Linked DNA regions of Mus musculus. The protein of the gene in region 1 interacts with the protein of each later gene in a pairwise test. Links are inferred from orthologs where the notes say so. Each region holds a gene or a part of one and is shown in the gene's direction. Other genes may lie near its edges.

Region 1 (9,764 bases):
ATTGATGCCTATAGCTGCCAGAGTGTGGCACAGAATTACTGTGTCAGCCACTCTGTGATAGTGCCAGCTGCAGAGGCCTCCTGGAAGCAGCCAGCAGGTCCTGTCCCTGACCATTTGGCAGGGATGTGTGACTTTTTAGGGCCCTCTGTTTCTTCAGATGCCAGAACCTCACCTTCACACTTGCCTCTAAGACACGCCCTGTTTGTTGCTTGTCTCCAGGCCAATGACGTTCTCATTCTCCGGAGCCATGAGCCCAACGCCCCGGGGTCTGCAGGTATCCAGACCTCAGAGAAGCCGAGGGAGGGGCCGGGGAAGTCCCGAAGGGCACTGCCTTTCACAGAGAAGAAGAAAAAAGCCGAGGCATTTAATAAAACCCAGAACCAGGAGAACACCTTCCCTTGTAAAAAGTGCGGCAGGTAAGAAGTCCCTTCCTTGTCTTCAGAGGAACCCATTAATGTTAGGGCAGGGACTTTGACGCTGCTGGGGGCGGGGCCCCGGATCTGCTTTTTTTGATCAGCTCAGTGGGTTTCCAGGGTAATGGCGTCATGAGGCAGGCATGATATGAAGGGGCGGGGCGGGAACTTCCCGAGTGGGCGGGGCAAGGGTAGGGGCTAGGTGGACCGGCTGGGGTTTGAGGGAGGAGAGTGGAGGGGTGACTCTCTCATCGGAGCCCTTCCTGCCCGCCGCAGGGTGTTTTACAAGGTGAAGAGCCGCAGTGCTCACATGAAGAGTCACGCAGAGCAAGAGAAGAAGGCCGCAGCTCTGAGGCTGAAGGAGAAGGAGGCTGCAGCGGCCGCCGCACATCAGCAGGCGCTGAGAGAAGAGAGCGGCGAAGGGGAGAAGGGCTGAGGACCCTGCTGGATCCTATTGCCGGGCTCCCCAGCACCCCAGTCCCTGGAACCTCTAGAAGGGGCCAGGAGAGGGTCACTTGGACTTTGCTCTGCAGAACAAACCCGATAATGAAAAATAAACCGGCTCTTTTATTTACAAAGGCCAAGGACAGTGTTAAGGGCTGCAGGATCCAGTTCTCTCAGTATCTGGTTGGTCCCGAGTTCTGCTTTCCCGGAGCCTAGAGAGGCCGGGCCACTTGGAATGGGCTAGAGCTCTACAGCTGCTTCTCTGATCTCTGCTGTTGCATCTGTGCCTCTTTCATCCCAGGTCCTTAGTAAGCCACCACGGCAAGCCAAGCACAAGCTCGCCCCATGGCAGCATTGTTCCTCCTTCCGCAGAGGACCTGGAAGGCTGTGCAGACTTTTATCTAAGCCCCCAGAGGGACTCCTTAGAGAGCGGTGGCCTTAACACCTGTGTTGTCCTTGTGCTGTCATGCTCAGGCCGGAGTTGCTCCAACAATCCCGTCTGGAGGTCCCCACTTCCTTAGGCGTATCTCGGAGGGCTATTTTCAACCCCTTTGCTGCTTGTTAACAGCCCGTCTGGGGCTGTCAAAGTTTTCTCAGAAGTTTGGAGTTCGTGCCCTGCTCTCAGCCTACTACACGGAGAGGAACTGTTCAGAGGCCAGAAGATGCAGAGCTCTGCCCGAGAGATCTTTTGACAAACTCATGACTAGCATTTTATACCTTTGAGTCCCGGAGGCTGCTAAAGGAGCCTCAAGCAGGTCCTAGAGAGGCCTGGCCTGCTCTTTGGTGCCAGCTTCCTTCTTGCCTGTCGAGTTCTCAGTAGCTGCCAGCTGATCCCACCGCACCCCACTCAATGTTGATATTCACAGTCCTCCCTCCCCCCAATACGGCATGCTGGAGTTTGCTGGATTCTTCCCTGGGAGGGTGATGTCTCCTAACTAGATTAGACAGGAGCCTTCATTCTGTGGCTTGTTGTCATTTGGGAACTATTTATTTATTTTTTTTAATATTTAAGTTTTAACATCCTCAGGGACCAGGGGCCTCTTGCTTTCCAGAGGTCCAAGTGCATTTATCCCAAAATAAGGCACCTTTTTGGCATCCCCAAGCCCTCCCCCAGTTCCATGGCCCTGGGGTCCCTTACCTTGTGGCTCTTGGCCGCAGGAATGACAGAAACTGATCGGGCTGGGAAGGCGGGGAGTGTTATCAGTCACAGGAAGCCAGCAGATGTGGGTGAGGTCAAAGGCAGGTCTCTGTCCTGCCTTTTCTGTACTTTCAAATGCTCGAGGGAGTTGGCAAGAGGCCAGAATTCTAGTTTTGGTTATCAGCCTCGATTCTGGCTTGAAGAAACCATATTTGGCTTGGAATTACTGAAGGGTTGGAATGTTCTAGAGTCCCCTTCGCTTTCCAGTTCAGTAGGGGCCTAAAGCCACTTTTCTGATATCATCACTTAATTTTAGTTGTACAAAAGAGAGTCTTAAGTGACCGTGTGTCTGACTGTTTAGAATGTTAGTAAGGAGCGGAAATAGCCTACAGCCCGTTGGGAATTGGAAATAGAGATGGGGTTTTGTTTTGAAGCTGTAGACTATTGGGTATTTCTTACATTCATTTACACATTAGTATGGTTCTATGAGAGAGCTGCGGGTGGAAATAACAAACCTGTCCCCCTAGATACCTAGACAGTTACCTTAACCTTCAGTTTCCCCGGTTTGTTTCCTTCATAGGCTTCTATCAGCTCGAAGTCCCGGGATTACAAAAATGTGGTACCCTCTAGAAGCAGGAGGGCAACAAGTTTAGGATCTCTTCTAAATCACTTCTATAACGCGTGCCTTCACAGCTCAGCCCCAAAGTGCCACTTAGGTTTCCCAAGGTTCTTTTCTATTTAAACCATATCTGGCTCAGGCCCCTTGGTGGACAGGTGATAGCAGCCACATGAGATCCTTCAGCCACATGAGACTCCTCTGCTCAGTGGTACCAACTAATCCTTAGAAATCTTAATTAAAAACAGCAAAAAAGCAAGAACTTTTCTAAGTTCACAGAGACCAGATGACTATAGCCGGGGTGGGGGTGGGGGGATAAAGATGGTACCTTTAGGTAGTGATCCCACCAGACACTGTTTTAGAGGGGCCCATGCTCCAGCGCGCCCGTGTGGAAACTGAACTAGTTCAAAGCGGAGATGCACGTGCGGCCGGAGGCTGGCGCAGGCGCGTCCTTACTGGTGCTTTCTCGTACGAACACACTGGGCTTGGCTTTTGTTGTTCTTTCTATTCAGAGCTCCCTGTTTGACAATAACGTCCCTATACAGTGTCACCCTGCCTGTCCCCCAGCTTCCACCTGCATTCAGAGAAGGCCATGACACTGACCGTGCCTGTGTTCTGGGCCATCTCTGAGGTCTCTTGCCCTCACTGCTGTCCTCCAAGCCTTCAGCAGCCCCCTTAGAGCTAAAGTACCCACCCACCCACCGTCCTTGCCGCCCCACCTCCCACCCCGGCACAGAGGCCCTGTGCTCATGATGTCTAAAGGGATTGCCTATATTTAACTGCCTCAGTCACCCAACCTCTTTCTTCTCATGTGCCAGATGTTAAAGACAGAGGAGGAAGAGTGCAATAGTACTCAAGCCTCAGCTGTTGAAATGTTTTTATTGGGGCTCACTGTTCTGGGTTATTATTTATTACTAGACTGGCAAAGCCTAACCCCTTAGGTTTTTACAGGAAGTATGCATATTTTTATATAAAAACAGTTGTGTCTAACCCACATTTGGCTGTGTTTGTTGCCTCAAAAAAAAAAAAATTGCAGCTGTTAGAACTTTTCCTCATTTGTCTCTTACGTTAAAGGCCTTGCTGGAGAGGATGGAGCACAGAACAGCCTTGACAGTCTGTAATTAGTGTACAAATATTTTAATAGCATAAAGTAAGTATATTCCTTTTATTTTGAAACAAAATGGTCAGACACTGCCTTTCATGTGTTTGTTGCCTGTGGCACTCTTTTTAAAAAAGACTGTTACATATTAAAATAGTGTACATATATATATATATATAAATATAAATATTACCTCTTTGTGTACAGTTGTGATAGACCAGACTGAAAATTTTATTTTTTGTGTGCTTTTTATAAAAAAAAAATTAATACACTAAAGAGAATCTTGCTGTGATTGTAATGTACCTATGTAACTTATTTACTTTTGAATGTTCTGTATCTTAAGACCTTTTATTAAATAAGGTTTTAAAAAAAATTCATTGTTGAATACCACATTCTTATAGGGGTGTTTTTGCCGTCTGGGACTGATAGGCCTTGTTTTGCTTGAAGAGAACTTACCCGCCTTTTCGGGGCCATAAACATTCTGTTTTGCTATCTTGTATACTCAGTAAGGATAAGAAGGCAATATGTTTGCAGTTTGCCTGGCTACAAAGGTAAGTAGTCACGGGGTTTTGTGTACACACACACACACACACACACACACACACACACACACACTTTAAACAAGAAAGCCAAGTCAGACACTCACAGGAACCAGTAGATGGAATTCTCTTTCCTAGTTTTGTGGGGAGGAACCAAGTAGTTGCAGAGTGGGATCAGGTGGTTCCCGGAAGTCAGAGTTAAAGACTGAATTCATAGAATGGATGAGCAATATGAGATAAGTCCGTCGTGGTAGATGCGTATCAATAAAGCCAGCTTAAATCCACGGCAAAATTAAATAAAGCATGCGTAGCAATAGCTAAGAAAGAATCAGGGAAGGCGGGGGGGGGGGTGTAAAAAGAAATGCGCCGTCATAGAATAGACTCCTCAAACCCCTTCTTGGCACCATAGCAACCGCCAGATCCTCTGGAGCCCGCGTATCTCGCGTCGTCATGGACACAGTTGTCACGGTGACACTGGGGGAGACAAGCGGACCGGTTCCGCCCTCCACTGCAGCTGCACGCCGGCCGTTGCGGGAGCGCGCGGACATAAGCGCTAGGCAGAGCTGCCTCCAGCCGAGTTTCTCCCCCATCCCGTGCTTCCTGCCGCTTGGGTTCCCGGTGCTCGGAGTGCCGCCTCTCCCCACGTAGCCAAGCCACGGCCTCGCGTGACCCTCAGCCCGCCGGCGTGCCGGGGAGAGGTGGGAGGAGCTGCCACGCCCCGCGACCGCACCCAGCCATCTCCCGCCCGGAGTCATCAGTCTTGAGCCCACCTTGCTCCCTCTCTTTAAGCGGTGACGCCAGACACAGCTGCAGCCAGTTCAGCCCTCCCTGCCCGGACCAAAGGGGGCGACATTCGAGTGATAGGCGGAGTGTCCCGTGGCTCCCGACCCTGACTTGGGACCCGGAAGGGACAAGAAGGAACTCTGGTGTCTTTTGGTAATTGTGGTTGCCTGAAGCTTGTCGCCCCCTGGCCTACCGGGGGAGGAGAGCATGTTGTATTGTCCTAGGCCCTATAGCCTCGTGAGCCAGTCCAAGCAGTGTCTGTAGAACTGGCACTTTTAATAGTTGGGTGAAATGGCTATGACACTATTGGAAGACTGGTGCAGGGGAATGGATGTGAACTCTCAGAGAGCTCTGTTGGTCTGGGGGATCCCTGTGAACTGTGATGAGACCGAAATTGAAGAGACCCTCCAAGCTGCGATGCCCCAGGTATCCTATCGAGTGCTGGGGAGAATGTTCTGGAGGGAAGAAAATGCTAAAGCAGCCTTGTTAGAGCTCACTGGGGCAGTGGATTACTCCCTGATACCCAGGGAGATGCCAGGCAAAGGAGGGCTCTGGAAAGTGGTGTTTAAACCCCCCACTTCCGACGCAGTTTTTTTGGAAAGGCTGCACCTCTTTCTAGCTAGGGAAGGGTGGACCGTGCAAGATGTTGCTCGTGTGCTTGGGTTTCAGAACCCTGCTCCAGCTCCAGGCCCGGAAATGCCAGCAGAGATGCTCAACTATATTTTGGATAATGTTATTCAACCTCTTGTTGAGTCCATATGGTATAAGAAGCTGACGTTATTCTCCGGGAAGGACATTCCCGGGCCTGGCGAGGAAACCTTTGATTCCTGGCTGGAGCACTCAAATGAAATCATAGAGGAATGGCAGGTGTCGGATATAGAAAAGAGACGGCGGTTGATGGAGAGTTTGAGAGGCCCCGCTGCTGACGTCATCCGCATCCTCAAGACCAACAACGCCGCCATAACGACCGCAGAATGCCTGAAGGCTCTTGAGCAGGTCTTTGGGAGTGTGGAGAGCTCTAGAGATGCACAGGTCAGATTTCTGAACACTTACCAGAACCCAGGAGAAAAGTTATCTTCGTATGTTATCCGTCTGGAGCCTCTGCTGCAAAAGGTAGTAGACAAGGGGGTCATTGATAAAGATAACGTGAACCAGGCTCGCTTGGAGCAGGTCATCGCTGGGGCTAACCACAGTGGGGCCCTCCGAAGGCAGTTGTGGCTGGCCGGGGCTGAGGAAGGGCCTGCACCCAACCTCTTCCAGTTACTGGTGCAGATTCGAGAGGAGGAAGCCAAGAAGGAGGAGGAGGAGGCCGAGGCCGCCCTCTTGCAGCTAGGCCTGGAGGGGCACTTCTGAGTCCTAGGACTGGCCAGGCTGCTTTTGATATACCTGTGACGTTTTAGTAAGCCTGCCACTCAAAGCAAGCACCCAGCCTCCTCCTGGCTTGGTTTTGTTTCCTGAGGGATGGGATGGGGAAGTCAGGCCCGCATATTCCTGTAACATTCACAGAAGTGTGTGATTGTCAGGAGCTGCAACGGTAAAGGTGGTCCTTACTGCCTAAAGTGAATGCTTGATGCCAGCCCTCCTGGCGACATCTCTGACAGCTGTGCACAAACGTGAAGCTGTGACACTTCCTGTCAAGGTGGTTGCGAAGCTGCAGGTTCTGATGCTAACCGCGCACCAGGTTCACAGACTGTACAGTACAAACTCTTGTGTTTGTTACTAACACTGTGGATGGTTTTACTGTAAATTGTTCCCAATTTGTATCGATGGAAAGAATGTGATTCTATTAGAAGATATTACTCATCTTGAAAAATGCGGATTTCTAATTCCTCACGGCTCAACGCTGGAATCAGTTTCCCTGAAAAGGATCCTCGGACTAAAAGTGGCATGTTAGAAAAAACCAGGCCTTTACCGAGCTGCACAATCAGTTCCTCACGGTGGAAGACAGAAGTCCTAGGGGGAGTGGCCGTGGCCAGTCTACACTTCCCCCACTTCAAAGACTAGTCATTTAATAATTGGTCAGCGCTAAGGGTTCTAAGTTTGAAGTTATTGAATAGATGTATACAAATAAAAATTTGAAAATTCTCATTTTTCCTGACACGTATAAAATTTTTCAGTTAATTTAGCTCCGTATATTTTTCTCCTAACAAGGACTTTTGTTCATGTAAAACAAAACAAAACAAAACAAAAATTACCCTCCTTGCTATGAATTTAAGTTGCAGTGTCACCTATACATCTTGGTTGGGTGGTTCCTTGGTTGTTTTGTCACAGTCCCACTCTGTAGCTGAGGCTGGCCTGAAATTCACTCTGTAGCCCAGGCTGACCTCAAACTTGCAGCGGTCCTGGGATTACAGGTTTGAGCCACTACCCCTAGCTATTTCTTGTAGATACTGTCTCACTGTGTAGCATGGGCTACTGCTCTTGAACCTGTGATCCTTCTGCCTACCTCTTGGGGGCTGAGATTCTAGGCAGACACTACTACATCTACCTTTCAGTGAGTTCAATTTCCACATGACTTCCTCAAGGCAAGAGATAACAACCAAAGAGAGATGTTTCTATGAAATCTGATAAAAAAAATTGAATTGGGGCTTAGGTTAGCTAGCAACCTTTCTGTTTTAAAGTCATTGTGTGACTGACAGTGTTTCGGCACAGAAACAATGATCTAGTCCACTTTGTGTGCAAAGTGTTTGTCTCCCAATAGCCATTTTATAAGTTTCAGTGACTGCAGATGCCCACCTCTGAGCTCCCGGGTCAATCTGGAAATGCCCTGAAATTTTCTTTTAGGGTCTGAGACTAGAGCTGGGGTAATAGGCACTGTCAATCTCTGAGGTTTTGCTTCATGGATGCACCAGTGTGAATGGGGCAGGGCAGAGAATGGGGCGGGGCAGGGTGGGGGTGGGGGACAGGACTCTGCCATTCTGCCATTTGTTAATTGTGACTGTTAGCTGGTGGATGCTAATATTCTTATGTGTTGGTCCAGATTTTTCTTTTTAAAATATTGTGTGTATGTATGTTGGTGTATATGTTATGGTATGAATATGGAGGTCAAAGGACAACTTGCAGGAACCCATTTTCTCCTTCTACCACGTAGGTCCCTCAACGTAAGATTTGACTTCCTACACTTTTATACAAGCTCGAATTCCGCTATCCTGAGCTAACCAACCACTCTCACTTAGATATATGTTCTTAAAAACAAGGATGGAGTCTGCATCTTTTATGTTGTCGGCATCCTTGGCTTCACATAGGAACATAGTACTTGCTTTGATTGTGGGCAAAGACATGTGGAGGACACGGGACAACTTGTAGGCATCAGCTCTGTCCTTCCACCAAGTAGTTCTGGGGGGGATCAAGCTCAGGTTGGCAGCTTACGGTGACAGCCTTTACATGCCAAGACACCTCACCAGCCCACCCTGTCCTGCCAATGCCACCTCACCTCGGTGGTTGCTAGATTGCTTTCTTCAGTAGCAATGAGTGAAGCTAAGATCACACGCATGCAGGTCGAGCACTTTACCACTGTACGGCAGGCCTGCCCCTTGTTCTGGTTTGTTGTTTTAGAAGTCTCACATTGTACAAAGGAAGCTGTCCTGCAACTTGCTATGTAGCTGAGGTTGGTTTTGAACTTATAATCTCCTGCCTCATGTTCCCCAGGGCTGGTATTATATAGGCTTGTGCCACCATGTTTAGAATACTTTCTTTATATAGCTGATTGATTGCATCCCATGAGGAAAAGTATTTTACTATTTAATTAAATGTAAGGCCCATACATTCATATGGAATACGAAACATGTGAGCATTCCCCTTTTCCAGTCTCTTTGAGTTGAGTTTCCTCTGTAGCCTAGGCTATTCTTGAACTTGCCTAGCCTCCTGCCTCAGTCTCCTGAGATGCTGACACACATCCTTTGAGCAAGAAAACTGAATTAAAAGTAACTGATTTGATTTGTTTTCTTTCTATAAGCTCAAAAAATTTTAAATTCTGATTTTTTTTTTAGAAAGGTATATTCAAAGACCAGTGAGATCATAGAAACTGCATGGCGGTTTTATTCTGTAACTAAAGTACATTTTGACTGACAGCACAGACTGTACACTGGCAAATGTATGGTGCTCCTGATCCTGTGGGGTTACCCTGTTTCTCAGGGGTCTCTCGGCTAACCTTTACTAGGGATGATCATGGGCAGGCAAGCTTGCTGACCGTGGGAATCCTCTTTCCAGTGGACACATAATGGTGGGTGAGTTAGAAAGTCAGCAAAGGACATGCTCACCAGTGCTAAGTGAGGAAGAAATTAGCAGAGACTGATTCAGCTGTGTGCTGTGCACACCTTTAATCCAAGCACTTGGGAGGCAGAGGCAGAGGCAGAGGCAGAGGCAGAGGCAGGCAGATCTCTGTGTTTGTGAACAGCCTTGTCTACAGAGTGAGTTCTACGACAACTAGGGCTACACCTGAGACCTCGCCTCAGTCAGTCAGTCAGTCAGTCAGTCAGTCAGTCAGTCAGTCAGTCAGTCAGTCAATCAATCAATCAATCAATCAATCATCAATCAATACGAGTTAAGGGTCTTTGCACCCTGGTTGCTCTCCCTTTCTCTCCTCCCTGGCCCTCTCACCACATGCATGGATTCTACTATTCAAAAGCTGAATTGCTTTAGAAATCAAATATCATGAAAGTTACTCTAATATTAACTAGAATACAGTAACCAAAGGACTTCTTTTTTTTTATAAAATAACATGATTTATTAC
Region 2 (9,679 bases), on another chromosome or scaffold:
TAAAAAAGAAAGAAAGAAAAAAGAAAAAAAAAAAGAAAAAGGGGGGATTTAAGAGAGAAAGGAGGAAATAAAGTCTTTGGAAAGCAGAGAGTTTTACAACAGCCAAAGGTTTTATGGAAGCAATTATGTAATAGCTTTCTACCTGCTCAGAACCCTTTCCGCTCTGCCTGCCGCCCACTGCCCACTCCGTTTGGTCTCCTTGATGCCTCCTCCCAAAGGACTCAGTCACCTCCCACTGTCTTGGATATCTGTGATGGCTGAGAGTTGGTAAGAAGATTCCTCAGGTCCAATGGGGCCACTGACCTCTGACATCCTATGCCGGATGACAGAAGATTTCGTTATTTTTCAATTAAGACCCTTCCTTGGGGTTGTGGAAGCTCCCAGGTTTGAGTCCCTGTGTACAGAACTTGATACCTGTTTGGAAATTATTTTGGACAAAGGGCGTGGGTTCTGGGATCTTATTTTTCGCCTCCAATGTCTAATGGAACATGTATCTTCAAACCTCACTGTATCCCAGAGTAGGTCTGGAGTCTAACCTGGGGCTCAGAAGAAATGTCTCCAGTGCCTGGGGACTTTAACAAGGTTGTTGTATGCAGCAGTGTTTTGTCCTTCACAGTGCTATAACCTTCACAGTCACCTGAGGACTGACACACTCAGTTGGCTCCTTTCCCTTCACACTTGTACAAGATACAAATAATAATATCTCCACCCTTATCCCCTTCAATACCATGAAATAAGTGTCACATAGTGCATGCTGTCTCTGCCGGCTGGGGGAAGATACGAAGTAAAAAGTAAAAAGATTTCATGGCTGGATAACAAAAGTCACCAAATTTCATGACCTTTTCTGGGTCAGTTGGAGGTATTTGTTTCATCTTCCATTAAAATGTTCCAGCAGGACACTGTAATTGAATCCAGCTTTAAGTCACACACATTTGTTTGAAGATGTAGTATGAATTTTGCTTGGATACTAAGTTAGGAGGCAAGATTCACATCAGCTTTTGTATAGCCAAAATTTAGACATTAATATCCAGGTTTTTGTCTTCCCTATAGGTGTATTGTTTTTTTAAAAAATATATGCACACCAGCTTTGGGGTTATATTTAAAAAAACAAGACATAATCACTGTTAGCATTCATTATTCACATAACCACATATGAACAATTAGATCTTAAATGCCTATGCCCCGACACATTTAGTATTACAGTTGGAAAGATAATTGTATATCCTATAAAGGTATATAATAGAGCATATTTGACCTCTAGACTCCCTTACAGAAATATTAGTTTGAAACAGACACGCAAGTCAAATACATCTGCTTAAACCCAGAAGGCATCAATATCAGCTGTAGCTTATCACCTAAAAACAAACTATTTTCTCTTTTCTCACAGTTTTCTTCCCCCCCCCTTGTACTCCCATTTCAATCTCTAGATTTTCTCTTCTTACTGACAGAGACACCCTCACCCCACCTCCCACCAAAGACTCTCCCAAAATGCAGGCACTTACCCCGGCTGGTTGTGGTCAGCAGCAGCCTCTCTTCTTGGCTGCCCTGGGCCCCAGTGTGGTCCAGAGGTTTTGCCTTCCTGTTTTTGTTTGTTTGTTTGTTTGTTTTCATGCTACATGCCACTAGCCCCAGCTGTGTTCAGCCAAAGCTCCAGTGTAAGACATGACAAGGGGCTTTAGGGGATGTGGGGTTTCCTTTCTCTCTAGGACTGGAGGTGGCTTGCAGAGAGCTTTGCTCTCTGGACAGAGTGACCCCACTGTAATGTGACTTTTGTTAAGTATCTGTAGGTCCTAGGGGCCACAATTCTGTGTGTTCTGGCATGGTGGGTACCATTGCCTAGGAAGGGAAAAAGATTTGAGGGGTTCCAGGGATCACCAAGCATTTCAGCAAGGGGCCACCCACCCTGGTGACCATTTTGTCCTTTGCCTCTGTTGAAGCTGAGCTCAAGTTTGAGGCAGCAATCCCTTCTGGAAAGCTTGCAGCAAGGGTGAGACTCCTTGCTGCTGCTGCTGCTGCTGCTGCTGCTGTCTTCCCCTGGAGGGGGTGAGATGGGGTATACACCCCAGGGATGAGGGGGAAAGTTCATTCTCTTCTGTAATCACCTCTCCAGAGAAGACAAGCTTCCCAAATCTGTCTCTTCCACTTTGTGTGCCCCCCCCCCCCGCAATCCCCAGCATCTTCTTACTTAGAAAAACTACTTCTTACTTAGAAAAGAGGCCTGGGTCTCCTCTTCACCCATCAGTGATTCCAGGAGGGATTAAGAACGGCTCCCTGGGCAGCTATAACCCACAAATATGAATTTAAACGGATTATCTCCCTCTTACAGGGCACAAGCCAGGAGCCCAAAGGTTCTTCCTCTGATCCTTTCTCTAAACTAAACCAGTGAAGAATCTGCAGCAAAGCCCGGGAGAGGAATGGGAACCAGGAGGGCAGCGGGCAGAGCCCAGCGCCTATACAGCTTGGGTCTTAAAAACAGCCTTGCTCCATCACGTTTCCATAAATAAAAGAGCCCCGGCCCAGAGTTCACATGTCCTTTTGGGCCCTAATTTATATACTACAGAAAATCATATACCCACCTCGACATGCTTCATAACGCTGTTATTTATGGCTGGGGAGGGGATTTTTTTTTTTTTGGCCTGAAGACTATATTTATTACAGGTAAAACTGATGGCAGATTTCATAGGACTAGCAAAGCAGGAACAGGTGCTCTGCCCTAACTATGATTCATTCGCTCCAGGCCCAGCTTCTTGCTGGCAGATCCGGGAAGCTCTCTTGACTTTTCCAAGCGTCCAACCGCTACTTAGAAGAATTTGCATCGGATTTTTGTTTCCCCATTTGGATACTACAGGGAAAAAAATAGATCTTCACGCTGTTTGGTTCCGGATCTGCTGGGCTGTCGCTCTCCAAGAGCGTGGGTGGAATTGAAGGGGCCGGCTGGGCGCCCGCATTGATCTTTAAAAAATCATTTTGAAATCGCCATAATGTGAAGAAATATGGCGCTTCGCCCTCGTATTTCACACGTAATGACACGAGATGGCTTCATTTAGAAAGACAAGCGGGCGGGACTGTGTGTGTGCTCTCGGAGGTGATCCGCAGCCTTCCACTGGGCAGTAGGGGTACTGGCTAAAAACATATTGACCCCCAAGTTAGAACGGTTCCACTTTTTCTAAAAGAAGGGGAGGCTAAGGAGGGAGTCATGGCCCCCGGAGCAGTCTGCCTAATAACGGTCCAGACTCAGAGAATAGCCAAGAAATCTGTCTTTAAACCTAACCCGAGGAAACCAAGCCTGTCTAGGGGCCCGGCCTCCCAGAGCACCACACCGGGGGAGGCGCCTGCACCCAGGCAGAAGCTGTAGAGGCAAGAGCTGGGAGAGCCGCCAGGAAACCAGCCCGTGGCCTCGGGGGAGTCCCTGCGCAGGGCCGCAGATTAGCTGCTAATAAAATGCACTATTTGTAATCTCCACGAGAGGATTGTAGGCGAGAAGGCGGCGGGTGGGGGAAACGGACTGATGCCGGGGACTCCTCTGTACTTGCTACCGTCCTATGTCAGTATTTGGACCTTTTCCAGAGCGGCAATTCCGGGTGAAAAGCGCTAGAGTGCTGAGAATTTAGCTGGCCTCTTTCCCTTTTTGGATGGAAAGGAAGGTAACCCGGTGTTCCTTACTGTGCCGTTTGGGGAGTCTTCTTCCCCTTCTCCTTTAATCATTTCCCACATTAGCCCTCTCATCTGGACATTTTTAAGGGTCTCAGAGATTCCTGGATGAAGGACAAGAAATGACCATGGACCCAGCCTTTCACAAAGGCCCAAGAAAAATTTTAAGGAGTTAAACAAGACTGGTTAGTCTCCCGAAACTCTAGTTCCAGGGCCTGGTGTGTCTCTTTGGCCTTAGGCAGGCTATAATTTCAAGACAGATAATGATTCTTTGGACACTAGTCCCCTTTCGCCTCTCTCAGCTGCTAAAGGATCAAGGGAAGAGCCTAGTCACGTAAATCTCCCCAAATTGTGCCCTGAACCCCCTCCAAAGAGGATAACTGTCCTATAAAAGCCCCAACTTCTTTCTCATCCTTTTACTTCATCTCCTGTGGGTCGCTGTACTGCTGTTGTTTAATAAACATCTCTGTCAAGGGGACAGAGGACAGGAAATGAGGGCCCGCGGGGTGGAGGTGGAGGTGTTGGGGGGGGGCGACAAGACTACCTCCTCTTTAATTACCCTGTCGGGCCTCTCCCGCAGCTCTGAGGCTGGGGCGCTCTCCCTCCCTGTATGCTGGTCCTCCCCCCCCCCCCAATCTGCCTGGGGAGAGGGCTCCTCAGCCTGCGTCCCTCCTGAGGCAGCCCGCTGCTTGCCTCCGCCTCTCCTCCGCCCCCATCGCCCCATGTTGAGAACCCCCCTTCCTGTAAAAGCGGGAGGGGCCCGGGCGGCCCGGCAGCTCAGGCTGAGGTTACGTGGCCGCCGGAGCCCTGACGTGATAGCACATTGCATCAGCATAAAACAATCCATCCTGGATATGGAATGCGGTGAGGACGGATGACAGCGCGAGCGCAGCCCCCTCGCCCGATTGATTTATGTCGGAGCTGACGCTTTATCAGGCAGTCCGCAAAACTTTGACCAATCATTTTGCAAGGAGCTCCGAGCCGGGCTGCTCCACTGTACTTTGTTGGCTGAGAAGTTGAGCAGGGGGTGGGGGTGGGAGGGTGGGGGTCTGGGGGGGGTCGCGTCCGAAAGCCCTCTGCACCGGGTCCGTGTGCCACCTTTTCCCTGCTTGGGCGCCGCGGCGCGAGCGCTTCCCTTCCCCCTGCGAGCGCGCGGATAATGTCTGAGAATGTCCATTTCTGGGACGCTTAGCAGCTATTATGTCGACTCGATCATAAGTCACGAGAGCGAGGACGCGCCTCCAGCCAAGTTTCCTTCGGGCCAGTACGCGAACCCGCGGCAGCCGGGCCACGCCGAGCACCTGGACTTCCCCTCGTGCAGCTTCCAGCCCAAAGCGCCGGTGTTCGGCGCCTCCTGGGCGCCGCTGAGCCCGCACGCCTCGGGGAGCCTGCCGTCTGTCTACCACCCCTACCTGCAGCCCCAGGGCGCGCCGGCGGCCGAAAGCAGGTACCTCCGCACCTGGCTAGAGCCGGCGCCGCGCGCCGAGGCCGCCCCGGGGCAGGGCCAGGCGGCCGTGAAGGCGGAGCCGCTGCTGGGCGCGCCGGGGGAGCTGCTCAAACAGGGCACGCCCGAGTACAGTTTGGAAACTTCGGCGGGCAGGGAGGCTGTCCTGTCTAATCAAAGAGCTGGCTACGGGGACAATAAAATTTGCGAAGGAAGCGAGGACAAAGAGAGGCCGGATCAAAGTAAGTTATAAAAAAAAAAAAAAGTGAGGAAATCCCCCCCAGGCTGCAGGCCAGGCCCGGGGGAGGGGAGGGGAGAGGCCATAAAGCGGACAATGTAAAGGGACAGAGCGCCTGGGGCCGCAGGGCTAGAGTGGGTGGAGGGAAGAGGAAGGAAGGGGCTGGCAAAGCAAAAAGCTGGGTGTCCAGGAGGGGGACACTGAGGCTACCCCCCACTCCTCCTTGTGGCGCAGGGACTGAGACTCAGGGACCAAGTCTCTCTAGTCCTTCATTCTTCCCCAGGCTCGGGCTGGAAAAAGGGAGAGGGACCTGCGATAGAACTGTAGGAGGCCGGGCCGATGGCCAGCGCGGCCCGGAGCCCGCGCGGGCACGGGGCCGAAGAGCACTCGGCAGAGCCGCCTGCGCCACGCGCAGACCGTCCCTGCCGGCCAAGGGGAAGGGGGAGGGGGCTCATTAGGATTTTATTTGCGATGCAACAGCTTGGCGGAGGATTGTTCCTAGCAGATCTCACGCAGTAGCCGCGTCGGGTCGGCAGCAGGCGCCGGGAGGGGCGGGGGAAGCCCAGGATGCGGTGACGGAGCCCCCTCCCCGGTGCGCCGGCCCCTCCCCGGGAGCCTTCCCTCCGGGGGTCCCCCGCCCTTCTAGGGCATCCTCGACAGGACGGCCGTTTCTCCTCCTGCGGTTGCACGCTGATCTCCGCGGGGCTTCCGATCACTTAGGCCGGGCAGTTCACCTCTCCGAGAGTCTAGGCATCACTTGCTAAAGACAGGGCCTCCCTCTAGAATGGAGGAGAAGACACCCAAAGGGACCCCGGGGGAGGGAGGGGGAGGACTGCGCAGGGGCGGAGAACTCTACCCTTGGTGGAGAGTTTCTTACCACCTCCCACTCCTAAAAGCACCCTTGCTAAAATAAAACCCCAAGTGGAAACTGCTGCTGGCTGAGAGTAGAGGAGGCTTACTTTTAGGGGTTTGTTTTTAAGGATGGGGAAGACAAACTGGTTTGGGGCTCGCTCTTGGTCCCAAACAATACGGGACAAACTGACAGGTCAACTCCTCACCTCTTCCTCCTCTGGGCAAATAGTTTGGTCCTTGCTCGCCCTATTGGATGCCCCACCAACAGAGAGGCCAATGGGTCCTCTGGGGGCATGCTTGCCCTCTGAAAAGCAAGGAGAGACACTATTCCCCTGTGACCCTTGTGGTCCCCTCATACCTCCAACTTGCCAGGCTGAGTTATTAAGGAGCTCATATCCCCAAAACAGCTCCTCCCAAAGCTCCAGAAAACACCCAAACAGACCCCTCACCCCATGGCCCCAGACTAGGCCTGAGTTGCCCATCATTGCAAGGCAGCCATTTGGCTAGGCTCAATTATTAACAGTTTTTTTTTTTGTTTCCTCTTTCATATTTAATGAAAGAGGAAAAGGCTGCGGGTCCCATCCCAGACAATCACATTAAGGGAATAGCGCTGCAAATTGGCAGGACACGCTACTTAGTGTAGGATGAAGTGAATTTTAAAATATACATAGATATTCAGAGCTTTTCACTTGGGGGCTAAGCTGGTGGAGTGGATCTTGCTTGTAATTGGCTCTGCTTTGGGAGGCAGGTAACTTTTCTGAGTCCCGAGGTCTAAGGAGGGATGCTGGACAGAAAAAGAAAAAAAAACTGTATATGTTATTTGCTCTTTGTGCCCCTCTTCCACTCAATTACACCTTTCTCTGCCTCTCCATTGGGTCCGTTAAAAGGATTGGTATGCTGGGAAGGGCTTTCTGTCGTCCCCCCCGCCCCCCGCCCCCCCCACCTCATCTCTGCTTCTCTATCTTAGAGCTGTAGCAATTTTGCTTCCCAGTTTCCCTGAACTTGTGTTAACCAAACTGTGAGCTGAGTAGCAGAAAAGAAGAGGCTATTGCCACCATAAGTTATCTGGAAGCCCTGGGGCTCCCCGTCCACGGGCTGCAATTGATAAATGGTTGCAATTGGGTTGCTTGTGAGTCGGAGTGTGCAGGGTGTTCATGGCTGTAAATGCAGACTCTTATTTGTGGTGTGTGATGGGGAGGGCTGCTACCCAGACTCACATGTCTGCTGCTTAGGCCTAGGGCTGAAAAATGGCTTCCTAGGCAGGGTTCACTGGGACTGGACTGGAGCACCAGGAGATCTCTTGGCTATGGCTGAACAGAACTCCACTCCTTACCCATTTCTTTCCCCTTTCCCCTGAAACCTAGAGCCAAGGCACCCTTCAGGTCAGCCACCTTTAGCTGGTAGTGTGGTTCCAGCTATACTGAGCTCTTCTGACCTGGGTCCAGGTCTATTTGGATACAAATAGAGGAAGACTGAGATTCCTAGAGCAGTCAAAGCTTTGGAGATGCTTGGGTGGTTTGGCTGCATCTCCTCCAATGCACTGTTCCCTTGGAGCTGTCCATATTCACTCCTGGCCCAGTTAGAGATGCTTTCTGAGATCTTGGAGGCCTGGGTGTGTTTCTCCAATGCCAGGGGAGTAGAGATGTGAGCGCACCTTCTTGGTCTGGGGACCTCCATTCCCTTTCTCTCTTTGATTCTATCGCTACTTCTCTTTCAGCCAACCCCTCTGCCAACTGGCTGCACGCCCGCTCTTCCCGGAAAAAGCGCTGTCCCTACACCAAATACCAGACGCTGGAGCTAGAGAAGGAGTTTCTGTTCAATATGTACCTCACCAGGGACCGCAGGCATGAAGTGGCCAGACTCCTCAATCTGAGTGAGAGACAAGTCAAAATCTGGTTTCAGAACCGGCGGATGAAAATGAAGAAGATGAATAAGGAGCAGGGCAAAGAGTAAAGATGACCACCCCCCCTTCCCCAGCTCACTCTTATTATTTATGTGATGGTCAAAAAGCCACTGCTGTCTGGGTTGTACCCAAGTGAGTGGGGAAGAGTATCTCCTCTTTAAAATCCCTCATCTGCACCTGGAGCCTGTCTCCTCTCCTTTGCGCCTCTCTCTCTCTCTCTCTCTCTCTCTCTCTCTCTCTCTCTCTCTCTCTCCACTCTCCTGGTGTTAAGAGGAAATTTTATTAAGTTAGAAGCTAGCTATACTTGGTTCCTAGAAAAGTGATGAGCCTCGCTCCGAGGAAAGAGACCCTAGTCGAGCTCCTAGCATCCCTGCTAATTTTTCTGGAAAACCCCAGCCCCTCTCTTCCAGTCTGCCTGTTCCCTCCCTGTAACCTAGCCAGACGCCACCCAGGTACAGTTTAACTGCACACAGCCCAGTGGATGCCCACAGACATAGAGTTTGGAGTCTATGCTAATCATCGTGGAGAAAGGACATCAAGACGTTGTTCATCAAACCAAGCAGGGCAGCTCTCAGATCAGGTTCATTTTGGTTGTGCCCTGATCCAAACACACACTAGGAAGATGTCTAGAGATGCCCTCAATGAGGCACTGCAGTCCCAAAGTCTCAACATCCCAATATGTATCCTATGGAATTGCCAGCTAGACCCCATATCTGGGGAGGCCTGTGGGCAGATGTGGCCATTCCTGTCCCCAAGCTGTTGTGAGCTAGAAAGGGCAAGAAAAAGCAGGGAGTGGTTTTATGAAGGTACCATTAGTGGAGTCCCCTCGTATTTTCCCTGCAGGAAGTGTTTAATTCTGCATGTTTTCCTTTCCTTCCAACTAAAGGAGGTCAAATTGTGGGTTGTAGAGCCCTGACAGTGCTGTTTCCCCATTCATACATTCCTATCCCCATTTGACAGAATGTAACTTTTCTTGCTGACCACAGTCTCAGATTCCTCTCTATCCTCCAACTTTGAAATCAACTCTCCTTTCCACCAAACCCATCTTGCACCAGCAAGACAAGTCTCCCATTGTAGGAAAAAAAAAAAAGTCCCTTTCCTCTCTGCTAGGTCAACCCCACCATAGAGAAGGCTGGGTCAGAAGAGTCTGAAAATTTATTGTGAATCAATTCCCCAGCTCCCTTCCAGAGTAGGCAGTCAGGGCCGGGAGGAGCAATGGCCTCAGCAAGCAGGGCTAGTGGGTATCTTTCCATTTCACCAGTTTCCTGACCCAGGAAGAAGAGAGCCCCTTGGCATCCAGCCAGAGGTCCAAAAGAAGACTCAGAGTGGGGACTTCACCTCCTGCAAAGTCCACTGCTGTATCCATCCTGTTGCTGCTGCATGCATACGCTTCTGGCAAACAGTCCAGTGTGCACAGGAAAGAGGCAAACATCGCACCTCCCCATCGTGCAGAGGGGGGTCCTCTCTGCCTCTCTGCCTCTCTGCTCTCCCTGCTTCTCAATCCCTTCCACCCGTGGACTTTTGTTCCCGCTTCTCCTGACTGCAAAGAGGTCATTCCAGTAGAACTTTGAATTTTATTTTATTAATTTTT
Region 3 (9,658 bases), on another chromosome or scaffold:
CAAGCAAACAACCATACACACACACACACACACACACACACACATATATATGTATATATGTATATATGTATATATGTATATATATATATATATACACATATATGAGAGAGAGAGAGGAGACGGTTCTCTTGACCCATATTTCAGAAAAGAGACATTTCCAACTTCTCTCCATATTATTCTGGAGGGAGAAATTCACGCTCGCCTTACCTCTCAGTTCTGACTTTCCAACACAAAATTCTTCTGTCAAGCCAATGCATATCTCTGTGGGAGGAAGGACATGAGAAAAGGGATAGCAAATACCACCATGCACATCACAAGGAAGCCTGCGCCACACCTAACCATTGGTTCTCACCAGAACCGCTGGGAAGGAAGCTCTTGAGCCGTATCTCTCCTTGGACGTCCACCTTCAACAACGAGCCCTAGAGGCAGAAAGTCAAGCTCAGCCTCCCCCAGGTACCACTGCCCTTCACGTCCAGGAGTGGGAGCCCAGACTTACATTAGATGCAATCAGTACAGACAGTCTCTCCACCACATCCAAAAACACCTCATTCTTTTGGCTCTAGGAAAGAAAGGATCTGAGTTATGGAGCTGAAAATCTGTTTTGTTTTCTGGGTTGTTTGTTGTTTGTTTGTTTGTTTGTTTTCAAGACAGGGTTTCGACCATGTTTCTCTGTGTAAAGAGCCCTGACTGTCCTGGACTTGCTTTGTAGACCAGGCTGGCCTCACACTCACAAGAGATCTACCTGCCTCTGCCTCTCTGCCTCTGCCTCCCAAGTCCTAGGATGAAAAGCACGAACACCCAGCCTGGAACCCTGTCTTCAAATGGACAGGCAATGTCAGGCATGGTGATACATGCCTATAAACTCAGCACTTGGGAAGCTGAGGCAGGAGGACTGCCACGAGTTCAAGACCAGCCTAGGTTACAAGGTAAGAGCCTGGGTTGGAGGACCAAAGGAAAGCCTATCTCAAAAAAACCAAAAGAACAGGAACTGCAGAGATGGCTCAGTCAAAAAAAGTGCTTGTCACATAAATATGACGATCTGAGTCTGATCCTCAAAATCCATGTGAATGCCAAGGTACTATAGGTAACCTATAGCCTACACCAGAGAGGTGAGGATACGCAGACCTGAGGCTCATTGGATCAGCCAACCCGCCTAGTCAATGAGCTTCAAGCTAGTTTCAAAGGAGGCGGATGGCGTTCCTGAGAATGACAGCAAAGGCCTGGTCCTTTAGCCTCCACACAAAAGCATGCTCTGCACATACACTCATGCCTAAAATAAAAGAGGCAGCAGAAGGGACAGGAGAGTTGAAGCAGAGTCCTGGGATGGGAGGCCAGGGGTAAAGGAAGAAATACACATCAAAGGGAATAGAAAGATAATCGAGTCCTAGGACAACAACAACAACAAAAAACCCTCATCAAGTCTGGCCTCACGGATCCTTCCCTTACCTGGTCAGAACGACTGGACAGGACAGGGCGGCTGGCTGCGCTGCTTGGGGCCACTTTATTCTGCTGTGTCTCTGCCCCGAACTGCAAAGCGTCCAAAGCAACAAACCTTCAGCTTTGATGCTCACAGCCAACCCTCCTGCCCCTCTTCTTTCCCAGCTACTGACCAATCCAACACTGCTGAGGTCAAAGAGGCTGAAGGGCTTGCTGACCACAGCTTCAGTTTGGATGAAGTTCCTCAGCATTTCTGTGGATGTAGTCTGCACATAGCCATAATCCTAATGGACAGAAAGAGTTGAAATGGTGTGGCCGCAACCTCCCAACCACACACTCCATGAGGACATTTCTTCATGGTAGCACGGAATAAGAGAATGAAATTGAAGTCCTTGGAGCTGGGGAGCTGGTTCAGTGGGTAAAAGGCTTGCTGAGCAAGTGTGTGGACCTGAGCTCAGTCCCTGAAATGTAAGTAAATAAGAAGGTGGACATGATAATGAGCATCTATAATCCCAGTGCTCCCATTCAGAGACGAGAAATAGAGACAGGAGAATCCCAGGAAGCTTGCAGGCTCGTTAGCTTAGTGTACGTGCACTGGGGAACAAAGGGAGCTTGCCTTTCACTTCTCTTTTTTTTTCTTTGTTATTTTTATTTTTATTTTCAAGACAGGATTTCTCTGTGTAGCCCTGGCTGTCCTAACTCATTCTGTAGATCAGGCTGGCCTTGAACTCAAGAGATTCATTCACCTGCCTCAGCATCCTGGGTGCACCACTATGGCTGGCTTCTATTTTTATTTTGAGACAAGGTCTCATGTAACCCTGGCTGGCCTCCAACTCACTATGTCGACTGGGAATGCCTCAAAAATCAAACTGATCCATCTGCCTCTGGATGCTGGTATATTAAAGGCACGCACCACCATGACCAGCAAAGGACTCTGTCTTGAACAAGGTAGAAGGTCAGGACCAATACCCGATATTGTCCAACAGGAAAGAGAAGGACACACAGGTGGAGAAACGGAGCCAGGGAGACAGACAGACATCCTGTGAGATAGCTCTGCTGGTGCTTGCTATCAAGCAAGCCAACCTTAGTTCAATCCCAGGGACCTAGACAGTATGTTGGTTGGGAACACGCAAAAGAAACTTATTTTAAATAAAATCATTTCATTTTTAGACTCCATTTAATCATAAGGAGAAGCTAAATTCAAGATCCCAGGCTCTGGGGGAGCTGAGGACTTCCCAATAGCTGAACGGCTTCTGTTGTAAATAGTTGCCTGAGTCCAGACATCTTTTTTTTTTTTTCCCCAAGACAAGGGTTTCTCCGTGTAGCCCTGGCTGTCCTGGAACTCACTTTGTAGACCAGGCTGGCCTCAAACTCAGAAATCCACCTGCCTCTGCCTCCCGAGTGCTGGGATTAAAAGCGTGTGCCACCACTGCCCAGCTGAGTCCAGACATCTTAGGAACAACTTGTACAGTTGTCTGAGTCCCGCCATCTTAGGGACAGCTGGTAAGAGAACAGCTGTTTGAGTTCAGACACCTCAAGGACAACTTCTCCATCTTGCTGGCAAGATCAACTAAGCTCGTGTTCTCAAGCCCAGAAAACTACTCCTAATCTGATTGGTCAAAGTTCCCTTGCTCAACCCCTTATGTCAAAATATGATTGGACAGTGCTACAGCTCACCCCACTCCCCTCCACTTTGTGGTGTCAGCCTTTAACTGCTAGGCAAGTTCAGGAGTCTGTTCTACAGCCCTGACTGATCAGTACTGGCTTGATTACAATACCTTTTTGTCATCTGCATTGACCTAGTGCTTGAGTTATGGTGGATCTATATTGGATTTAGCAGATTCTACAACAAGTAGAAGATACCTGATCTCCACACATGTGCAGTGATGTGGGCAAATACACACACACACACACACACACACGTGAATAAATAAACTTAAAAAGACCAAAGTTTTTGGGCTTTACCAGCACTTCATCCAGGAGTTCGTAGACAAGCGCCACATTGCGTGAGATGGTTCCCTCATTGAGTGAGCCACAGTAGTCACCCAAGAGAGTGGCTAGCCTAAGGAAACACAGCAAATTATGTGTGAATAAACCTCACACGCCCTCCTTCTTAAGTGCCTGTCCCAACTCTACTCACCGGGAAAGCAGCTCCAGAAGGCTGAAAGGAGAGACGTTTTCTAAGGTTGTGGCCACCAAATAGAGCCCACTGTGTCTGATGTGAATAAAATGACGATCACCGTGATACTGAGGCAGAGTTGAGGACAGAGGCCATTAAGAAAAGACCAGAATTGTAGTAAGGAAACCTGCAAGATGGCACCCTGAGGTCTACTAGTGATGGGCGATGCCCCAGATCTAAGACCTGGCCGCCTAACGTGGAAAGGTAGTATCTACCTCTCAAAGTTGTTGATAGTCAAAAAATAGGGTGCATGGCTCTGTAACTGGCTTCTTGTTAGTACTCAAAACATTTATAAACAAATCCTCCCCACACACACACCCCCGCCCCCAAGCTTCCTACCAAGCTGCCCTTGACAGGGAGGAGGCACTCACCCACCTCCACAGTTCTAAGGCCCTGCACACCAACCACAGTAGTTACCATGACAACCGGGGACTCGCCTCCAGGCAGTCCCGTCAGCTTCCGGTAGAAGAGCTCTGCCACATCACGACCACCACTGTCCCCGCGGACTAGCCAGGTGGAAAGATAGTTAAGGAACAGGCGACACAGACTGATCTGGATTCGATTTCTACCCAGCTACCCTACCCCGTCTCCCGGGTCAAAGGATACAGTCTTTATAGATGAGCGGATCCCCCTTGGAAGACAGAATGAAGAACTGGGAAATCATGGCGGTTCTGGAGGATAGACGAGAACACGGTGAAAGTTGAACCCACCCCGCCTTGTGGACGCGGAACAAAAGGCCGCACGGAGGCTGGCGCTTTAAGAAACACTCCTCCCACACACACACTCGCGAGCATTAATTTCGAACCGCGGGAAACAGGGTGTCCAACCCGCCAGGATCTGGCAATCTTTCAACGGCCCGCCCTCAAGCCCCTTGTCATTCAATCTAGACTCGTCCATTGATTGGTTAAAGTTAGGGGCTGGCAGCAGTTGGGAACCCCCTATCTGATTGGCGGGTTCTCAGCCGCACGGGTCACATGGGTGACGACGTTTCGCGCCAATTTCGGTTGGCCGGCTACGTCCCGCCGCGCGTTCGTTTTCTGCTTCCCCAGAGAGAGATTTTTGAGCCCTTCAAGTCCTGCCACACCGTCCCCGGCAGCGATGGCGCTTAAGGACTACGCGATCGAAAAAGGTGAAGATCTATAGGGCTGGGGGCGGCGTCCTCGGAGGGAAACTTCTACCTGCACCTGTTGAGGGGTGCTGGAGTCTTGGGGTCGGGCGGGGGAGGGGGAGTGAGCCGGGATCTGTGACTCCGAGGACAGGCGAACTGCGCCTGCAATAAGCAGTGGGCGTCAAGGATGGAGGAAGCAATCCTCCTTGGAAAAGGTGATGTGTTTGTGTTATGGAGAGAACCCAGTGGAGTCCACAAAGGAGGGGCGCGCTCGGTAGAGACCGGGTGACTTGGTTCAATGCATTCAATACGTGACCCAAGGGACTAGGTTACTGGGCCAGCCTCTGCTGCTCGGGGCGCTAGCGAATTCCCGCGTCCACTGGAGACTGGCCGAAGTCCAGAGGCGGGGCTTGCCAGACCGCTACGCGCCGCGATTGGTTGTTTTCGGCCGCCCTCCAAGCGGAAGTAGAGGCGGGCGGAAGTGGCGCTACCCGATCTTGGGACTGTCGTGTGTAAACAGTGTCCTTCCGCGCGGTGGCCTCGGAGATAGCTGCAGTAGGTAGGGGCGTGCCTAGAATTGGGAGGCTAAGCGCCCGGTGGCGAAAGGTGGCAGTGTGGTGGACCCGAATGGCCCTTTGGCGTTCTGGCCAATCCCCGCTCGGCCACCCGTCTCGGGCGGAGGAATCCTGGGCTGTGAGGCGGCTGGAATCTGGGCCCATGTGCTTCTTTGTTTACTAAGAGCGGAAGCAGTGGCGGGAGCCGGGCATGAGTGCAGAGGAGGCCTAGTGGCGGACGTCCTGGCGGGAGCCTAAGAAAAAGAGTTGTACTGGTAGAGCGAGAGCCGAGGACCTTAAGTCGATTGGGAGCGAGCTGAGAGAATTGAAGAAACTGAGATTCCTAATTAAGACAGAGTGTGGAATTCTCTTGGGAAGGTTGGGTAAGACTCTTGTAGCTGCCCGAAGACCTATATTCTTCTCTGTGTAAAAACGGACTTGTGAAAAGGAACACTGCCTACTTTGGGGAGAACTTGGTCGATTTGTTTTCAATGTTCATTTAACTAACTAGTTCATAGGTTTCGTCTTAAGTGAAAGTGGGTTTCTTAGGTTTCTGTTAAGAGTTTGAAATAAAGAATCTAAAAGGAAAGTTGATTGTTTATTTTATTTATTTTTACATTATTTTGTTACATTATTGTGTGTGTGAGATCGCACGGGCATATCATAGTGCTGGACACCCGCAGGACTCTGTTCTCTTCCAACCTGTGGGTGGGCCCTAGGGATTGAACTCTAGTCCTTGGCAGCAGTGGTCTTTACACCTCACTGCAAAGACTTGGTTTTTATTTTATATTTGTAGAAAAAGTTAAGAAGTTCCTCCAAGAGTTTTATTACGAGAATGAGCTTGGAAAGAAGCAGTTCAAGTATGGGACCCAGTTGGTAAGTCTCAGGATTGGTTCTGGGGAGTGGCGTGGCGTGTTAAGAACTTGTATAAGGTTATCTCAAGTCTGGCTATCAGTGAATGACTTGATTCTGATTGTTTTTATACAAAGTTGGGTTTTTGTTTTGTTTTTAGCTTAAGGGTTTTCTTAGATGTTTTAGTCGTGTTTATTCCTATGTGTTTGTGCTCACAGGGGCATGCCATAGCATGTGTAGAGGTCAAAAGGACAATTTGTGGAAGTCTGTTCTCCCACCATGTGTGTTCTAGAGAGCAAATTCAGATCATCTGGCTAGATGGCTATGTCTAACCTGCTGAGCCACCTCATCCATTCCTAGCTCTTAGTTTTTAGGGGTAGTCTTTGTGTGGCTCAGACCACCATCAAGAACACGCTGTGTAGCTACATAGCTGAGGTTGGCTTTGAGCTCCTCACTCTGTTGCCTTCTGAATCCTAAGTGCTGGGATTATAGACATCTACCACCATGATGTACTGCATTCTGTTCTTTCCCCAGTGGTAGGATAGTGACTTTAGAAGAGCTTTTGTGGGTGAGGTGAACTTGACCCTAAAGTGTTAGCATCTCTTCTTTACCTCAGGTTCATCTGGCTCATCGGGAACAAGTGGCACTGTATGTGGACCTGGATGACATAGCTGAAGATGACCCTGAGTTGGTCGACTCAATTTGCGAGAATGCCAAGCGCTACTCAAGACTGTTTGGTGATGTTGTGCAAGAGCTTTTGCCTGAGTACAAGGAGAAGGAGGTAGGTGGCTGGTTTGTTTCTGAGCTCGTCTGCCTCGTGCCCTGTTTTCTTTCTCTGTCCTGCCTCTCGCCTTTTCTTTCTTTTAGGTGGTGAATAAGGATGTCTTAGATGTTTACATTGAACACCGGCTGATGATGGAGCAGCGAAGCAGAGACCCTGGGGCAGTCCGGAACCCCCAAAACCAGTATCCTTCTGAACTCATGCGAAGATTGTGAGTATCTCTGTGGGAAAGGGCGGGGACTTGCTCTCCGGGGACTTGCTGACAAATGTTTCTCTTTTAGTGAGTTGTATTTCCGAGGCCCAAGTAGCAGCAAGCCTCGAGTGATCCGGGAAGTACGAGCTGACTCTGTGGGGAAATTGTTAACTGTGCGTGGCATTGTCACTCGTGTGTCTGAAGTCAAGCCCAGGATGGTGGTGGCCACATACACTTGTGATCAGTGTGGGGCAGAGACCTACCAGCCAGTACGTATACAATTCTATGATGGTGATTTGATACCTCGGGTCGTTTTGACTGATAATATTTCAAGGAGGTCTTAATCCTTATTTTAAAAGACACAGAGCAGAGATGGTTACTGTGGTGATTGTAAGACTTCCTGTTTTCCTTGTTTGTAGATCCAGTCTCCCACTTTCATGCCTCTGATCATGTGCCCCAGCCAGGAGTGCCAGACCAATCGCTCAGGGGGGCGGCTGTACCTACAGACTCGTGGCTCCAAATTTGTTAAATTCCAGGAAATGAAGATTCAAGAGCATGTGAGTTTAGGGGATATGAGTCCTGCAGCTGGTTATGAAATTATAGGAAGAAAGATTGGGAGAGAGGTTTACCTAGAATTTTTTTATATTTGCTCTTAGTCAGAAAATCGGGAGGTGATTTAATTGAAGTTTTTTTCTGGTTCTATTGGGAGGAGGATAAGAAGAACTCAGCTTCCTTCCTGAAGTCATCTAGGTTGGGATGACTGAATCTTACCATCAAATGGGCATCTTCTGGGGTGGTGGTCAGTTGGGTCAGGTCTGCCTCGCTTTTCTCCTTGTCTCATGTGCTCTGTGTCATGCCCTCCCCCACACCTCCCAATCTCCTAGAGTGACCAAGTTCCTGTGGGAAACATCCCTCGTAGCATCACAGTGGTTCTAGAAGGTGAGAACACAAGAATTGCCCAGCCTGGTGACCATGTCAGCGTCACTGGCATCTTCTTGCCAGTCCTGCGCACAGGGTTCCAACAGATGGCACAGGTGAGGGCGTTTTGAATGAGGAAATAGCTGCCTTGCCTCCTCATCCACCCACTCACTCTTCACACCCTTAGAAAATGAAAATCAGTGAGGTGGAACTTGTGGATAAAAAATTCTCAGGGACTCTGGTGATGGGGACTTTAAAGGGAACTCTTGTGTCCAGGGCTTACTCTCAGAAACTTACCTGGAAGCCCACTGGATTGTGAAGATGACAAAGAGTGACGATGATGTCTCTGGGGCCGGAGAGCTGAGCTCAGAGGAGCTGAAGCAGATTGCAGGTGAGGGACCACGAGCTCAAGTTGAGAGTTGAGCTCCATCCTAGATTTTGTCCTGAAGGAAATGCTATGGCTTAATTTTTTGCAGAGGAGGATTTCTATGAGAAGCTGGCCGCTTCTATTGCTCCGGAGATCTATGGACATGAAGATGTGAAGAAGGCGCTGCTGCTGCTTCTGGTGGGTGGTGTGGACCAGTCTCCTCAAGGCATGAAGATCAGAGGTAAGAAGGACAAGAGACTTAGGAGGGAGGGTAAAAAAACATCCCACGAGAGTCTGTAAATGACAAGAGTTGATGATTTACCTTAGTGGTTGTTGTGTCTTAGAAGTAGTCTGGACTTTAAGAAGGGACCAGGTCTCAAGTGCTCTTCTCTGTTGGTGGACAACTTGGGTAAAGAGTATCACTCAGGCTTCCTTCTCATTTGCCAGGAAACATCCACATCTGCCTTATGGGAGACCCTGGTGTGGCCAAATCTCAGCTCCTATCTTACATCGACCGTCTGGCACCGCGAAGTGAGTGTGAACAGGGATGAGGCTTGGTGTTTGGTTGATAAACACTAAGGCCTCTGGAAGGCCTGGGGAAAGCGGTTCCTTTCTTCAGCAGTTTGCTCTTTATCTTTGCAGGTCAGTACACAACAGGCCGTGGCTCCTCTGGTGTAGGGCTCACAGCAGCTGTGTTGAGAGACTCTGTGAGTGGAGAACTGACTTTAGAGGGCGGTGCCCTGGTGCTGGCTGACCAGGGCGTGTGCTGCATTGATGAGTTTGACAAGATGGCCGAGGCTGACCGCACAGCCATCCATGAGGTTATGGAGCAGCAGACCATCTCCATCGCCAAGGCGGGGATTCTCACCACGCTCAATGCCCGATGCTCCATCCTGGCTGCGGCCAATCCTGCCTACGGCCGATATAATCCCCGCCGCAGTCTGGAGCAGAACGTCCAGCTTCCGGCTGCTCTGCTTTCTCGATTCGACCTCCTCTGGCTGATTCAAGACCGGCCCGACAGAGACAATGACCTCCGGTGAATGAAGTAGATGACACCCATAGAGACAGCCCATTTTAGTGACTTTGGGGCAGGGAGGTAAAATCAGAAAGCCACTCAACTTGTCTGTGTGCAGACACCTTAAACACCTTTCCTTGTTTGCAGTTCATATGGAGATAGGTTGGAGCTAAGATCTTGAGGGTTTTCTGGGAGGCCTGTCTGCCATGCTTTGGAGAAGAGGTGGTGCTAAAAGGGGATACTGAGTCAAGATT

Evidence for each region.
Region 2: the proteins of Pnma1 (region 1) and Hoxb9 interact in binary tests that used the Homo sapiens proteins (3 or more experiments, as listed by UniProt). The two-hybrid records come from large-scale screens. The link is inferred for Mus musculus from reciprocal best matches to the Homo sapiens genes PNMA1 and HOXB9.
Region 3: the proteins of Pnma1 (region 1) and Mcm7 interact in binary tests that used the Homo sapiens proteins (3 or more experiments, as listed by UniProt). The two-hybrid records come from large-scale screens. The link is inferred for Mus musculus from reciprocal best matches to the Homo sapiens genes PNMA1 and MCM7.

What each region holds. Positions count from the first base shown.
Region 1 is NC_000078.6:84,143,487-84,153,250, reverse strand, and holds Pnma1 (paraneoplastic antigen Ma1 homolog), read left to right. Parts: upstream 1-4,761; 5' UTR 4,762-5,323; coding exon 5,324-6,385; 3' UTR 6,386-7,120; downstream 7,121-9,764. Other genes in the region: Mideas (ELM2 and SANT domain-containing protein 1), read left to right, coding at 220-416, 690-849.
Region 2 is NC_000077.6:96,266,722-96,276,400, forward strand, and holds the start of Hoxb9 (homeobox protein Hox-B9), read left to right. Parts: upstream 1-4,608; 5' UTR 4,609-4,820; coding exon 4,821-5,337; intron 5,338-7,902; coding exon 7,903-8,138; 3' UTR 8,139-9,679. UniProt on the Homo sapiens protein: Sequence-specific transcription factor which is part of a developmental regulatory system that provides cells with specific positional identities on the anterior-posterior axis.
Region 3 is NC_000071.6:138,166,813-138,176,470, reverse strand, and holds the start of Mcm7 (DNA replication licensing factor MCM7), read left to right. Parts: upstream 1-4,587; 5' UTR 4,588-4,714; coding exon 4,715-4,745; intron 4,746-5,204; exon of another isoform or gene 5,205-5,661; intron 5,662-6,074; coding exon 6,075-6,154; intron 6,155-6,746; coding exon 6,747-6,911; intron 6,912-6,997; coding exon 6,998-7,122; intron 7,123-7,192; coding exon 7,193-7,373; intron 7,374-7,523; coding exon 7,524-7,661; intron 7,662-7,988; coding exon 7,989-8,138; intron 8,139-8,298; coding exon 8,299-8,413; intron 8,414-8,498; coding exon 8,499-8,630; intron 8,631-8,836; coding exon 8,837-8,920; intron 8,921-9,031; coding exon 9,032-9,425; exon of another isoform or gene 9,426-9,485; intron 9,486-9,658. Other genes in the region: Ap4m1 (AP-4 complex subunit mu-1), read right to left, coding at 208-261, 353-419, 497-559, 1,447-1,527, 1,611-1,721, 3,403-3,499, 3,578-3,684, 3,992-4,122 and 1 more. UniProt on the Homo sapiens protein: Acts as a component of the MCM2-7 complex (MCM complex) which is the replicative helicase essential for 'once per cell cycle' DNA replication initiation and elongation in eukaryotic cells.